Linked DNA regions of Cricetulus griseus. The protein of the gene in region 1 interacts with the protein of each later gene in a biochemical or structural test. Links are inferred from orthologs where the notes say so. Each region holds a gene or a part of one and is shown in the gene's direction. Other genes may lie near its edges.

Region 1 (3,602 bases):
TTGTTTCTGAGCCAAGCAAGCAGGCGATTGTGGTGGAAGTGAGGGTTCTGCACATGCTGTTTCTCTAGCGTGCTTGCCAGGTGCTCCTGCAGCAGGATAGTACATTTCCAGAGCTCAGAGAACACCCTGCCTGGATGACCTGAGCCACAGAGGGTCACTAGCCTCTTGCTCAAGAAGGTGCACCAGCAGGGAGGCCTGGTTTAGACTGACAGACATGCCCTGGCTTGATAATGGGAACAAAATGTTGCCATCTACAAAGTTCATACATATAAAGAAGGTGCAAAAAAATTAAACTGTTTTAACTGTTTACAGTATCATTTGGGTTTTATTTGTAGCTGTTCTTACCCAGTGGGTGCAAGGTCTGGGCTGTGAGGTGGACTCACCTGGGATGGAGCTGAGGCAACGCCATCCCTAGCAGGACAGGGGTGGTTCTAGCCATGGCCTCTGATCTATGGGTCACTCCCTGCTGCTATTGCACCTCTGGTCCAGGAGACATAGCACAAGGGTGTCCCCTCCAAGCCTCAAGTCGCTTCTCTTTCCCTTCTGCTGGGCTCACAAAAACCACGCTCCCTTTCCTGCCCCTGAAGGGACCCCATAACTCAGAAGGGCATAGCCTGAGCCTGTGTCCCCTGTCCATGAGGAAGGACTCCACACAAGGTGGGACACACAGGGGTGGGACACTGCCCTGGGCTCTCTGCAGAGTCTGGCTAGGACCTGGCCTCACCCTCCTCTCTTTGCAGGACTGGATCATTGCACCTGAAGGCTATGCTGCCTACTACTGTGAAGGGGAGTGTGCCTTCCCTCTCAACTCCTACATGAACGCCACCAACCATGCCATCGTCCAGACACTGGTGGGTGCCTCTTGGGGGGAGGGGTGGCCTATGGGGAGTGTGAGTGACTTCTACTGCCTTTACCCAGAACCTGAGCAGCTGTCTGTCCAAGTGTGTCATGACTCTTGTGGGTACCTGCTGTATAAAAGGCTGGAAAAAAATGTTTTAGGCATATAGTGGTATAAAGATGAATTTATATGTGGTGTCAGCATGCCATACTGTGTTATGATTTGTGATCTTCCTGCCTCAGACTCTGAAAAGCTGGAATTATAGGCCTGCACCCCAAACCAGGCAGCAAGGGATATCTATCTTTATCCCGTTCCCACCCCAAGACAGGGTTTCTCTGTGTAGCCCTTGCTGTCCTGGAGCTCACTCTATAGACCAGGCTGGCCTTGAACTCAGAGATCTACCTGCCTCTGCCTCCCAAGTGCTGAATTAAAGGTGTGCGCCGCCACCACCATCCGGCTAGCAAGGGCTATCTTTAAGTACTGGTTTTCCAAAACTTTCCCGTTCCCTGGACCATAAACTCCAAAACTGCATTTGGGATGGAGTCTGCAGCCAGGGATGGAATGAGCTGTCGGAACCTGGTGCGCCGCCAGTGTGGCTTATCTGACCTGCTCTGAGCACGCGGACGGTGCTGTGTCCTGTTGCCTTCAGGGCTCTTCCAGGCACCCTTTACCATGGCCTTAGAGGCCTAGGGGCACAGCTGCTTCTGTTAGCATTTTACCTCAGGGTGCATGAAAGTGTCCGGTGCTGGAGGGAGGAGGCCTCTGTGGTCATGTGGACCAGGGGTAAAACCTTCTTGGGGCATCCTAGTGAGATGCAGTGGAAATGAGCCGACACACCGAGGACTTTGTTACACTTATTCAAAGAGGAGCAAGTTGGGGAGGGTAGAGGTGTGGAAGGGTTTGATACTGTCCATCAGAAGAGATGGAAGGAGCCACCTCAGAGGTCACAGCCTGGAGGCCGTGAGCCGAGAGCCAAGCCAGCTGCTGAGATATATTTGTTTGCCATTCCTGGTTTGCTCAATACCCAGAAGCTGCCCATTAATAACAAATCAGGAACTGGGGTTGGGCTCAGGTGGTAGACCGCTTGCCTGGCATGCACAAAGCGCTGGGGTTCACTGAATGAACTGGGTGTGGTGGTTCAGGCCTGTCATTTCAACCCAGCCCTCGGGAGGTGAGAGCTACATAGCAAGTTCAAGGCCAGCCCTGGGATGTAAGAGCTTCTATCTCAAACAACCTGGTAACACATGAGAACTGAATCTCTGGCCTGTCTGGCATGGGGTCATGAATCCTTAATGGCATGGACTGGCCAGCTGGGCTGGGTCAGCTTGCAGGAGTGGCCTCTCCCTTCAGTTTGCTCCAGTCCCCACTCCTCCCTGCTGCCTCCTCCAGGTTCACTTGGCTCGTCAAAGGTACTCACATGGAATCTGCAAGGCATTTGAGTTTTCCCTTGTCTGACTCCTGCTCTGTGGGGTGCAGAGGTACATGTGAGCAAAACAGCCCTGTCTTGAACTGGGATCGTCATGTAATTCAAACTTGTTTGTGATTCAAATATATAAAACAAAACAAAACAAAACAAAAAACAGCCCTGTCTTTATAATTGTTGTGATGCTGGGGAATCGAACCCAGGGCCTTGTGTGTGCTAGGCAGGCACCCTAACACTGAGCTACAACCCATCCCTTAAGACAGAGTGCTTTTTGAATGTGCAGCAGTCAGGGAGGAGGCTCAGTTTGGAGCCCCAGCTGTGTCTACCACATCAGATGTGTGCAGGAAGACTGTGTGTGCTGGTTCCCTCGTCTGCATGGTGGAGGCAGTCGTGGGCTGAGTTGGGCCATGAGACATGCTCACCTGTCATTTATAGTCATCTTAGCCAGACAGTTGATGGTCTTTAGAGAACTATAGAAGTCCGCAGAAGGCCTCGCCGCCTCTCACCATGGTTTCCGTTGGTGGCTTGCAGGTTCATTTCATCAACCCGGACACGGTGCCTAAGCCTTGCTGCGCACCCACCCAGCTCAACGCCATATCTGTCCTCTACTTTGACGACAGCTCCAACGTCATCCTGAAGAAGTACAGAAACATGGTGGTCCGGGCCTGTGGCTGCCACTAGCCTCTTCTGAGAGCCTGACCTTTTGGGCCACGTTGTTCCAGATCTGTGGCGTCTCAACATCTAGTCTCTCACTGCCCACCTCGGCGAGGAGCGAACAGACCTGTCACCTTTCCTGAGCCTTCCCCTCACCTCCCCCACTGGAAATACGTAAGGCATTAGAAACCCGAGTGCCCAGTGGCTGGCAAGCAGTCTGTAATTCTGGCACACTGCGCACAAGATCCTACAAGCTGCCACAGGCAACATCTAGCAGGAAAAATATCTTCCGAGAAAGAGTCTGTTGGCCACATGGTCTCTGTGGTGCTCTGAGTCCTTGAGGGGTAATCACAAGTGTCCTTCAGCCAGGCCATCAGCTGCAGCAGGAGCAAGGGCATAGCCAGGGTGGGTGTTTAACGTCTGTGGTGAAGGAAGACTAAGCAGAAGTCCCTGTAATAAAATGTCACAATAAAACCCATGAATGAAAATGGTTAGGATGTTACAGATATATTTTCCTAAACAATTTATCCCCGTTCCTTGGTTTATTCTGATTTCATAAACAGAAGCTGGGACCCGTGGATGCTGGGGAGGCCCCCTCCTTTCCACTTGGTTTCCTTCTGAGGCTGCAGGGCCCAGTGTTTACCCAGAATTGCCCAAATCTACTGTGTAGGGAGCGGAAGGAGGGAT
Region 2 (3,663 bases), about 110 Mb from region 1:
CTAATTAATGGTTAGCCACATTTCTTTTGGTATGAAGCCTTCCAATTAGGTACATTAGTTGTTGTAAAAACCCATGCTACTGAGTCACTGCAGGAGACCCATAATGTTGTGTAGGAAACAGCCCTTTTAAGGCTTTAGATTGCATTTATTTCTTCATGGTTTACCCTGAAATTAAGGATCACTCATCAGGAACAGTGTTCTGTTATCAGTGCTGCTCAAAGGACTGTATATGATTGATTTTTCTAACTTTTTATTATTAACAACACTTAAGCATATACATTTTTAATTAAATTTATCTTTTTAAAAATTAACTTCATTATTAAAAAATACTTGCAAATAAGTGAAAGCGTCACATAAAAGGTTTGAAGGAATATTATTTTTGTTTTGTCTTGTTTTGTTTTTTGAGACAGTGTTTCTTTGTGTAGCCCTGGCTGTCCTGTCCTGGAACTTGCTCTATAGACCAGGCTGGCCTCAAACTCAGAGATCTTTCTGCCTCTGCTTTCCAAGTGCTGGAATTAAAGGTGTGCACCACTACCACTCCCCTTGAAAGAATATTGTAATGACTCTTAGGTTCAAAATTAGAATTTTTATCACATTTTTCTTCTGTGCTTAAGTAGTTTTACTAATTTTGGGGTATGTGACAGATACCACAGCACTTTATTACTAAATATCTCAATTTGTTGTCCCATATCAAAATATATCTTCCAAGACCACAGTTTAATCTCATCTAAAAATCACTGAAGTCTAACCATGTCTCCCAGACTGGCCTGGAACCTCATTTAGCCTAGGCTGGATCTTCCTGCCTCAGCACCTGAATGCTGAATGTATTACAAGTGTGTGCCACCATCCTTGACTTTCCCAAGTAACAATTTAGTCAAGGTTTACAGGTTGCATTTTTTTTTTTTAAATTGTGATAATACTCTAGTGGGTAAAGGATTTTCTGTGAAGCTTATCACCTAACATCTTCTGGATGGTTTTTATTTCCTTCCTTCCTTCCTTCCTTCCTTCCTTCCTTCCTTCCTTCCTTCCTTCCTTTCTTCCTTCCTTCCTTCCTCCCTTCCTTCCTCCCTCTCTACCTCCTTCTTTCTTTCTTTCTTTCTTTCTTTCTTTCTTTCTTTCTTTCTTTCTTTCTTTCTTTCTTTCTTTCTTTCTGGTAGTGTCTTACTATTTAGGCCTAACTGACCTGGAACTCACTGGCCTTGAAACTTGTAGAAATTCTCCTGCCTCTGCCTTCCAAGTGCTAGGATTGCAGGTGTACACTGATAAAATGTTGCTCCAGGATCTAGTCATTGGAAGCCTTTGCTTTGGCCAAAGGAGCCAGTTCCAATATAGTTTGGTCACATGGCTCTTGGCAGCAAGCTTCAGTGCCTTGCATGTAGGTCTCTCCATGGGGCTATTTACTGGCCTTTAGCATACTGAATAAGTCAAAGAAAAACAATCAGGAAAAAAACTTTTGTTCTGTCTTTTGGACCCTCGTTCTAAAGATACACATGGTCACTTTTGTCATTATTAATCCAGCCCAAACTTCTGGACAAAACTAAAGCCAGCATCACAACTGGTGTGGCAGGTGTGTTTCAGCTGCACCTTCACGGCATGCTAATGGTTCAACTAGTGGTTCTAGGAATGGCAGAGGAGCACATATGATTTGGGGAATGCTCAAAATGGCCACAACAGAGAAAGAGGAGCCACTCTGCTTTAGATGAAGGCAGTTGCTAAAATCTTAGCTAATTGTGAAGGGTAAGATGGCGTGCTCTCTGGCCTTGTATGGAGTCATGTCTTCAAAGCTATGGGCCTGAAGAATTCACTCACTGCAGATAGCTGGAGGGATTTCCAAGGCATCTTAGGATTGCAAAGTTTCCCAGGGCATCTTGATCCTGTTTGGCACTTCTCATAATATTGAGTGTTATAGCAATCATTTTTAAGATGGTCTATTTATGCATCAATAAATAATTCCACCCTCAAATAAGCCGTGCACAAATCTGTCTTTCCCCAGTGGCTAGAAGGGAATGGCAGGTCTCTCTAATTGATGGAGGAATTCAGAAACAGAGCCATGGCTTAAGTGCTTTGGAACCATTTAACAAGAGAGATGCACTTTGAGTCAAGGTTCAGCTTATTGCCGTCTGTTCCCAGGATTTCAGGGGAAGGCCCATGGGCTCAGCCAGCCTGATTGCTCTGATAAGAGGCTGCCCCTTTGGGGATACACCAGAACCAGTCATAGTTTGCCCTTTGTGGAGCAATAAATTACCGAAGGTTTTTGGCCTCACACTGTCAAAATTTGTGTTTGGAGATAAGTGGGAGTAGTGATGGCGTTTGGGAGTTTACTTTGCTGATTTTTAAGCCACCTTGAGGTTTACCTAGAATGTGTATGAACCTGTTTTTCCATGGGCTTCAAATGTGGCCTCATAGTGCTTTAGTGTTTTGGTCTGCATTTACAAAAATCTATATCTCCTAGAGCTTCATATATTAACTTGATAGTCTCATAATCTTCCTGTTCTCACACCCAAAGTTACAATTAATCTGGGGACATCCAGGATATTCTAGATGTAACATCAGTGACATGTACCACCAGAGGGCGCTTTTGATTGGGGCTGTTTTAAGTTCTTGCAGCTGCCCAGTAGGAGAAAGGCTAATTACACTGTTGTCTTTTTCCTTTTAGGCCTAGCAGTCATGCATTCCCAGAGCACCAATCAGCTTGACGTGGGAAACAACCCCCGTGTGGGGACCAAGCGCTACATGGCTCCTGAAGTTCTAGATGAAACCATCCAAGTGGATTGCTTTGATTCTTACAAGAGGGTCGATATTTGGGCCTTTGGCCTTGTCCTGTGGGAAGTGGCCAGGCGGATGGTGAGCAATGGTAAGTGTGTGACATTGTCCTTGTCCGTGGTCTTTTGATGCAGTGTGGTCAAAAGGCATAGGGCAATCTGGAAGCCACATTGTTCCTCAAATCAAATCATACTTGCCTGACTTATGGTGGGTTAAGTGTGTAATGGCATTGTGTCTGAAATTCAAGAGAAAAAATGACAACCGAAGAGCTATTTTTGGAGCAGGGTAATGTTTTTCTTGGTTTTCGCTTGGGTCTCTCACTCTTTATTTCCTTTCCTTTTCTGGCTTTCTGTCTGTCTGTCCTCTCACTGTCCTTCCCTCTTTATTGCTCCATAAGCTAGATTTTACTTAAGAGGAGTGAGTGTTCAGCCCTTATGTAAGAACCTTGCTATTGAGGAATTCTTTTTCTTCTTATCACTGGATTATTGAGAGAAGTCTGCTTCCACATTTGGTAAGCATTCCTTATCAGAAGCATTCAGTACTTTCTCAAAATGAATCAGATTTAAGTTCAAGGACCATGGATGGGTGGCTTTTATTGATCTGTTTGATTTTATAAAATGGTTTTGTCTTAGCAGATAGGAAAGCATTTGCTTCCCTCCCTCCCTCCCTCCTTCTCTCCTTCCTTCCTTCCTTCCTTCCTTCCTTCCTTCCTTCCTTCCTTCCTTCCTTCCTTCTCTTTTCTCCTTACCTCCCTTCCTTCCTGCAGGGACTCATTATGCAGATCTGACCGCCTCTACTCCCAGGTGCTAGGATAAAGGCCTGCACCACTACACTTGGCCTGTTTGTCACTGTGTTTTGGCCTGTGTCTCCCACAGCTGGCTCTCTCTCATGGCCACTTAG
Region 3 (3,663 bases), on another chromosome or scaffold:
CAGAATCTAGACAGTATGCTCCATGGTACTGGTATGAAATCAGACTTGGACCAGAAGAAGCCAGAAAATGGAGTGACTTTAGCCCCGGAGGATACTTTGCCTTTCTTAAAGTGTTACTGCTCAGGCCACTGCCCAGATGATGCTATTAATAACACATGCATGTAAGTATTTGCTTCAGTCCTTAAGAGTTAGGAGAATAAAAGCACACTCGGACAAGTGCCCCCCCCCCCTTAGTATATGGTATCTTTCCAAAGAAAGAAAGGATTCTTGCCTTGAATATAGAAATATTGTTATCTATCATTAAACAGTTGTGACACTTTTGTTATTTCTCTGTGGACTTCTGGTTCACATCTGCTTTATATATGACTTTGCATTTCCTACTTAGTCATCAAGACTAAGACACCCTCTCTCCCTTGCTGAGACAGGGTTTCTCTGTGTAACAGCTCTGGCTGTACTCTGTACACCAGGCTGGCCTCAAACTTAACAGAGATCCACCTGCCTCTGCCTCCCGAGTGCTGGGATCAAAGGGTGCCCCAACACTGCCTGGCTAACTTCCTACTTAGTTTTATGTTAACCATTCAATCCACTCACAGATGGTCATGAAACTTGAATTTTCAAACATGTATGTATTGTGTGTGTACATGATATGTATGTAGATGTACATGAAGAGATCAGAGGACAACTTACAGAAGTCTCATCTCTCTTCTACTATGTGGGTTCCAAGAATGGAGCTCAGATTGTCAGTCTAGAAAGCAAGCACTTCTACACCATCAGTCATTCTGTGGCCCATAGACCATATCTTGGGGCACATTTGAAGAATTGACTTTCTGGACCAAACAACAACAAAAAATGAAACCAAAACAAAACAAAAACAAAAACTGTGCAATTCAGTCTCATCAGTCAATTAATTATCTTTGTTTTAGAAGTGATAATAAAGGCCAAGTTTTATAGTTCCCTAACATTCTGTGTTCTTTGAATAGACTAAATACAATGTCTAGAACTTCATCTATGAAATTATATTATTTATCCTTCCTACATTAGCTTAGGGAAAAGCTCAAGGACACTGACATTAAAGTGATAAAACTTCATGAAGCTAAATATATTTTTGTAAATTTCTTTAAAATGAAGCTATTCAGACTGTCTCTCTGCTTTCCTGTCTCATTCATTACAAAGTACCTTTCAGAAGCTTAGTGATCTGTTCTTCCCAAATATACTTTCATGTGTCATTGAGGTCTGCTGAATGTTTCGCAGAAAAGCTTGTTTTCATCTCTTACCTTGTATATATAGTATGTGATCATGAGTGTGGTTAGCAGAGCAATTCCGAGCAGCATGCACATGGAACATTTATTTAGCAAAACTCCTTTTCTATTTGACATAGAGTTCTTATTGGCCCTTTAGGCCTTAGTTCAAGAATACTACCTTTGATTTAGCTTAAATCTATATTGGTTTTGGTAATCATATGAGAAGTCAATTTTTTTTTTTTTCTCCCCAAGACAGAGTTTCTCTGGGTAGCTTTGGAGCCTATCCTGGCACTCGCTCTGGAGACCAGGCTGGCCTCGAACTCACAGAGATCCGCCTGCCTCTGCCTCCCGAGTGCTGGGATTAAAGGCATGCACCACCAATACCCGGCAAGAATTCAATTTAATGTGGGAAAAAAACCCAAGTTACCAAAGGCCATTTCAATTCACATATCTTCAGTTCTTTTGTATGTCTTTTTAAATTTTTTAGATTTTTTTTAGTGGAGTGTGTGTGTATTGTGCACACATCAATTTGCCAGAATCAGTTCTTTCCACCATTTGGGTACTAGAAATCAAACTTAGGTCTTCAGGCTTGGTGACAGGGCTCTTAACCATTGAGCCATCTCTCTGGCCTTCCTTATCAGACAAAGTCTCTCTGTTTAGCTCAGGGTGACCTGTAATGCAAGATCCTCCTGCTTTAGCCTCCTGAATGCTAGTATTCTGGATGTGTGCTGCCATACTCTATTCTGTTTAATATGAAATTGTATTGTGTTTTTGTTTTTTTCTCTATTGTAGAACTAATGGGCATTGCTTTGCCATTATAGAAGAAGATGATCAGGGAGAAACCACATTAGCTTCTGGGTGTATGAAGTATGAAGGCTCTGATTTTCAATGCAAGGTAAGATCTAATTTGTGACCATGAAATAAAGAAGCGTAGAACTTCGAGAACAGAGCTGAGTCCCCTAGCAAAAGTGAATTGCTCTTCACACTACTTGGGTCACAAAAACATTTTCTGAAGAAAGCCTTGGCTTGTCAAGTAATAGGATTTTACTAACTGAAGTTCGATTGCTTTACTTTAAGAAAGTTTTTAATCATCACAGATTGTGGTTAATGCAAAAACAAAAACGGTAGTCACATTTATTTCTGGAATGCAAAGTTTACTGAAAAGACTTTAAGATAATGGATAGTAACTTTTAACCCCCCCCCCCCAAGACAGCAATGTTAAATCCTTGTTTCAGAATGAGGTGATTGGAATAAAATGTTCCCCATAGTCTTAGGCATTTGAATACCTACAGTTAAACACTGAGCTGAACTCCTAAAATCCAGTTGCAAAGAGGGAGGAATGATGAGCAAAGCAGTCAAGATCAGGCTGGAGAAACTCACAGAAACATTTGACCTGAACAAGGGGGAGCTTATGGACCCCAGACTGATAGCTGGGAAACCCCCTGAATGTGGGTGTCAGTTAGAAGGCCTGGTCAATCTATAGGGCCTCTGGCAGTGGATCAGTATTTATCCCTAGTATACGAATGGACTCTAGGAGCCCATTCCACATAGAGGGATACTCTCTCAGCCTAGGCCCTTGCTCCAAATGATATGACAGACTTTGAAGACCTCCCCCCATGGAAGGCCTCACCCTCCCTCGGGAGCAGAAAGGGCTGCAATAGTGGGTTGGTGGGGGGAAAGCAGGGGAGGAGAAGAGGGAGAGGAAACTGAGATTGACATGTAATATTTTTCAGATTTTAAAAATTATTTAAAAAATAAGATTATAAAGCCTTGCCCAGTGGTGGTGGCACACGACTTTAATCCCAGCACTCAGGATACAGAAGCATGTGTATCTCTTGAGTTTGAGGCCAGCCTGGTCTACAGAGTTCCAGGACAGCCAGGGTTGTCACATAGAGACACTGTGTCTCCAAAAAAACAAAACAAACAAACAAAAAGTATAAAACCTCATCTCTGAGTTTGAGACCAGCCTGATGTACAGAGTAAGTTCCAAGACAGCCAAAGCTACACAAAGAAACCCTGTCTTAAAAAAAACAAAAGAGTATAAAACCCCACTTACTGCTACTTTGCTTTCTGCTTGCCATTTGAGATGTGGGCCCTTAGCCTCTGCTCCTGATACCATGTCTGCTCTGCCATCATGGACTCTTAACTCGTTAGACCTACTAACCCAGATGAACTCGTTGCAACTTACAAGTTGCTTTGGTCATGGTGTTTGATTACAGAAGTAGAAGAGAACTAATACAGTGTTTCTGTGCAGCTACTTGAAAAGAGCCCCAGAGAGAATTCCTTCATTTTTCTAGATTGTACATGTGAATTTCTTAGGAGATCCTGCCAGTGGTTTTAAAAAACAGCTTTGTATAGAACAGTATATATGTCAGCTGTTTCAGAAAATTCATCCTCTTCAGAACTGGCAGGGTTCATAGAA

The links.
Region 2: the proteins of Bmp7 (region 1) and Acvr1 form a complex in vitro, tested with the Homo sapiens proteins (2 studies listed by BioGRID). The link is inferred for Cricetulus griseus from reciprocal best matches to the Homo sapiens genes BMP7 and ACVR1.
Region 3: the proteins of Bmp7 (region 1) and Bmpr1a form a complex in vitro, tested with the Homo sapiens proteins (2 studies listed by BioGRID). The link is inferred for Cricetulus griseus from reciprocal best matches to the Homo sapiens genes BMP7 and BMPR1A.

What each region holds. Positions count from the first base shown.
Region 1 is NC_048599.1:6,453,074-6,456,675, forward strand, and holds the end of Bmp7 (bone morphogenetic protein 7), read left to right. Parts: intron 1-740; coding exon 741-851; intron 852-2,792; coding exon 2,793-2,942; downstream 2,943-3,602. UniProt on the Homo sapiens protein: Growth factor of the TGF-beta superfamily that plays important role in various biological processes, including embryogenesis, hematopoiesis, neurogenesis and skeletal morphogenesis.
Region 2 is NC_048599.1:116,416,289-116,419,951, forward strand, and holds part of Acvr1 (activin receptor type-1), read left to right. Parts: intron 1-2,656; coding exon 2,657-2,854; intron 2,855-3,663. UniProt on the Homo sapiens protein: Bone morphogenetic protein (BMP) type I receptor that is involved in a wide variety of biological processes, including bone, heart, cartilage, nervous, and reproductive system development and regulation.
Region 3 is NW_023276807.1:184,929,890-184,933,552, forward strand, and holds part of Bmpr1a (bone morphogenetic protein receptor type-1A), read left to right. Parts: coding exon 1-161; intron 162-2,033; coding exon 2,034-2,136; intron 2,137-3,663. UniProt on the Homo sapiens protein: On ligand binding, forms a receptor complex consisting of two type II and two type I transmembrane serine/threonine kinases.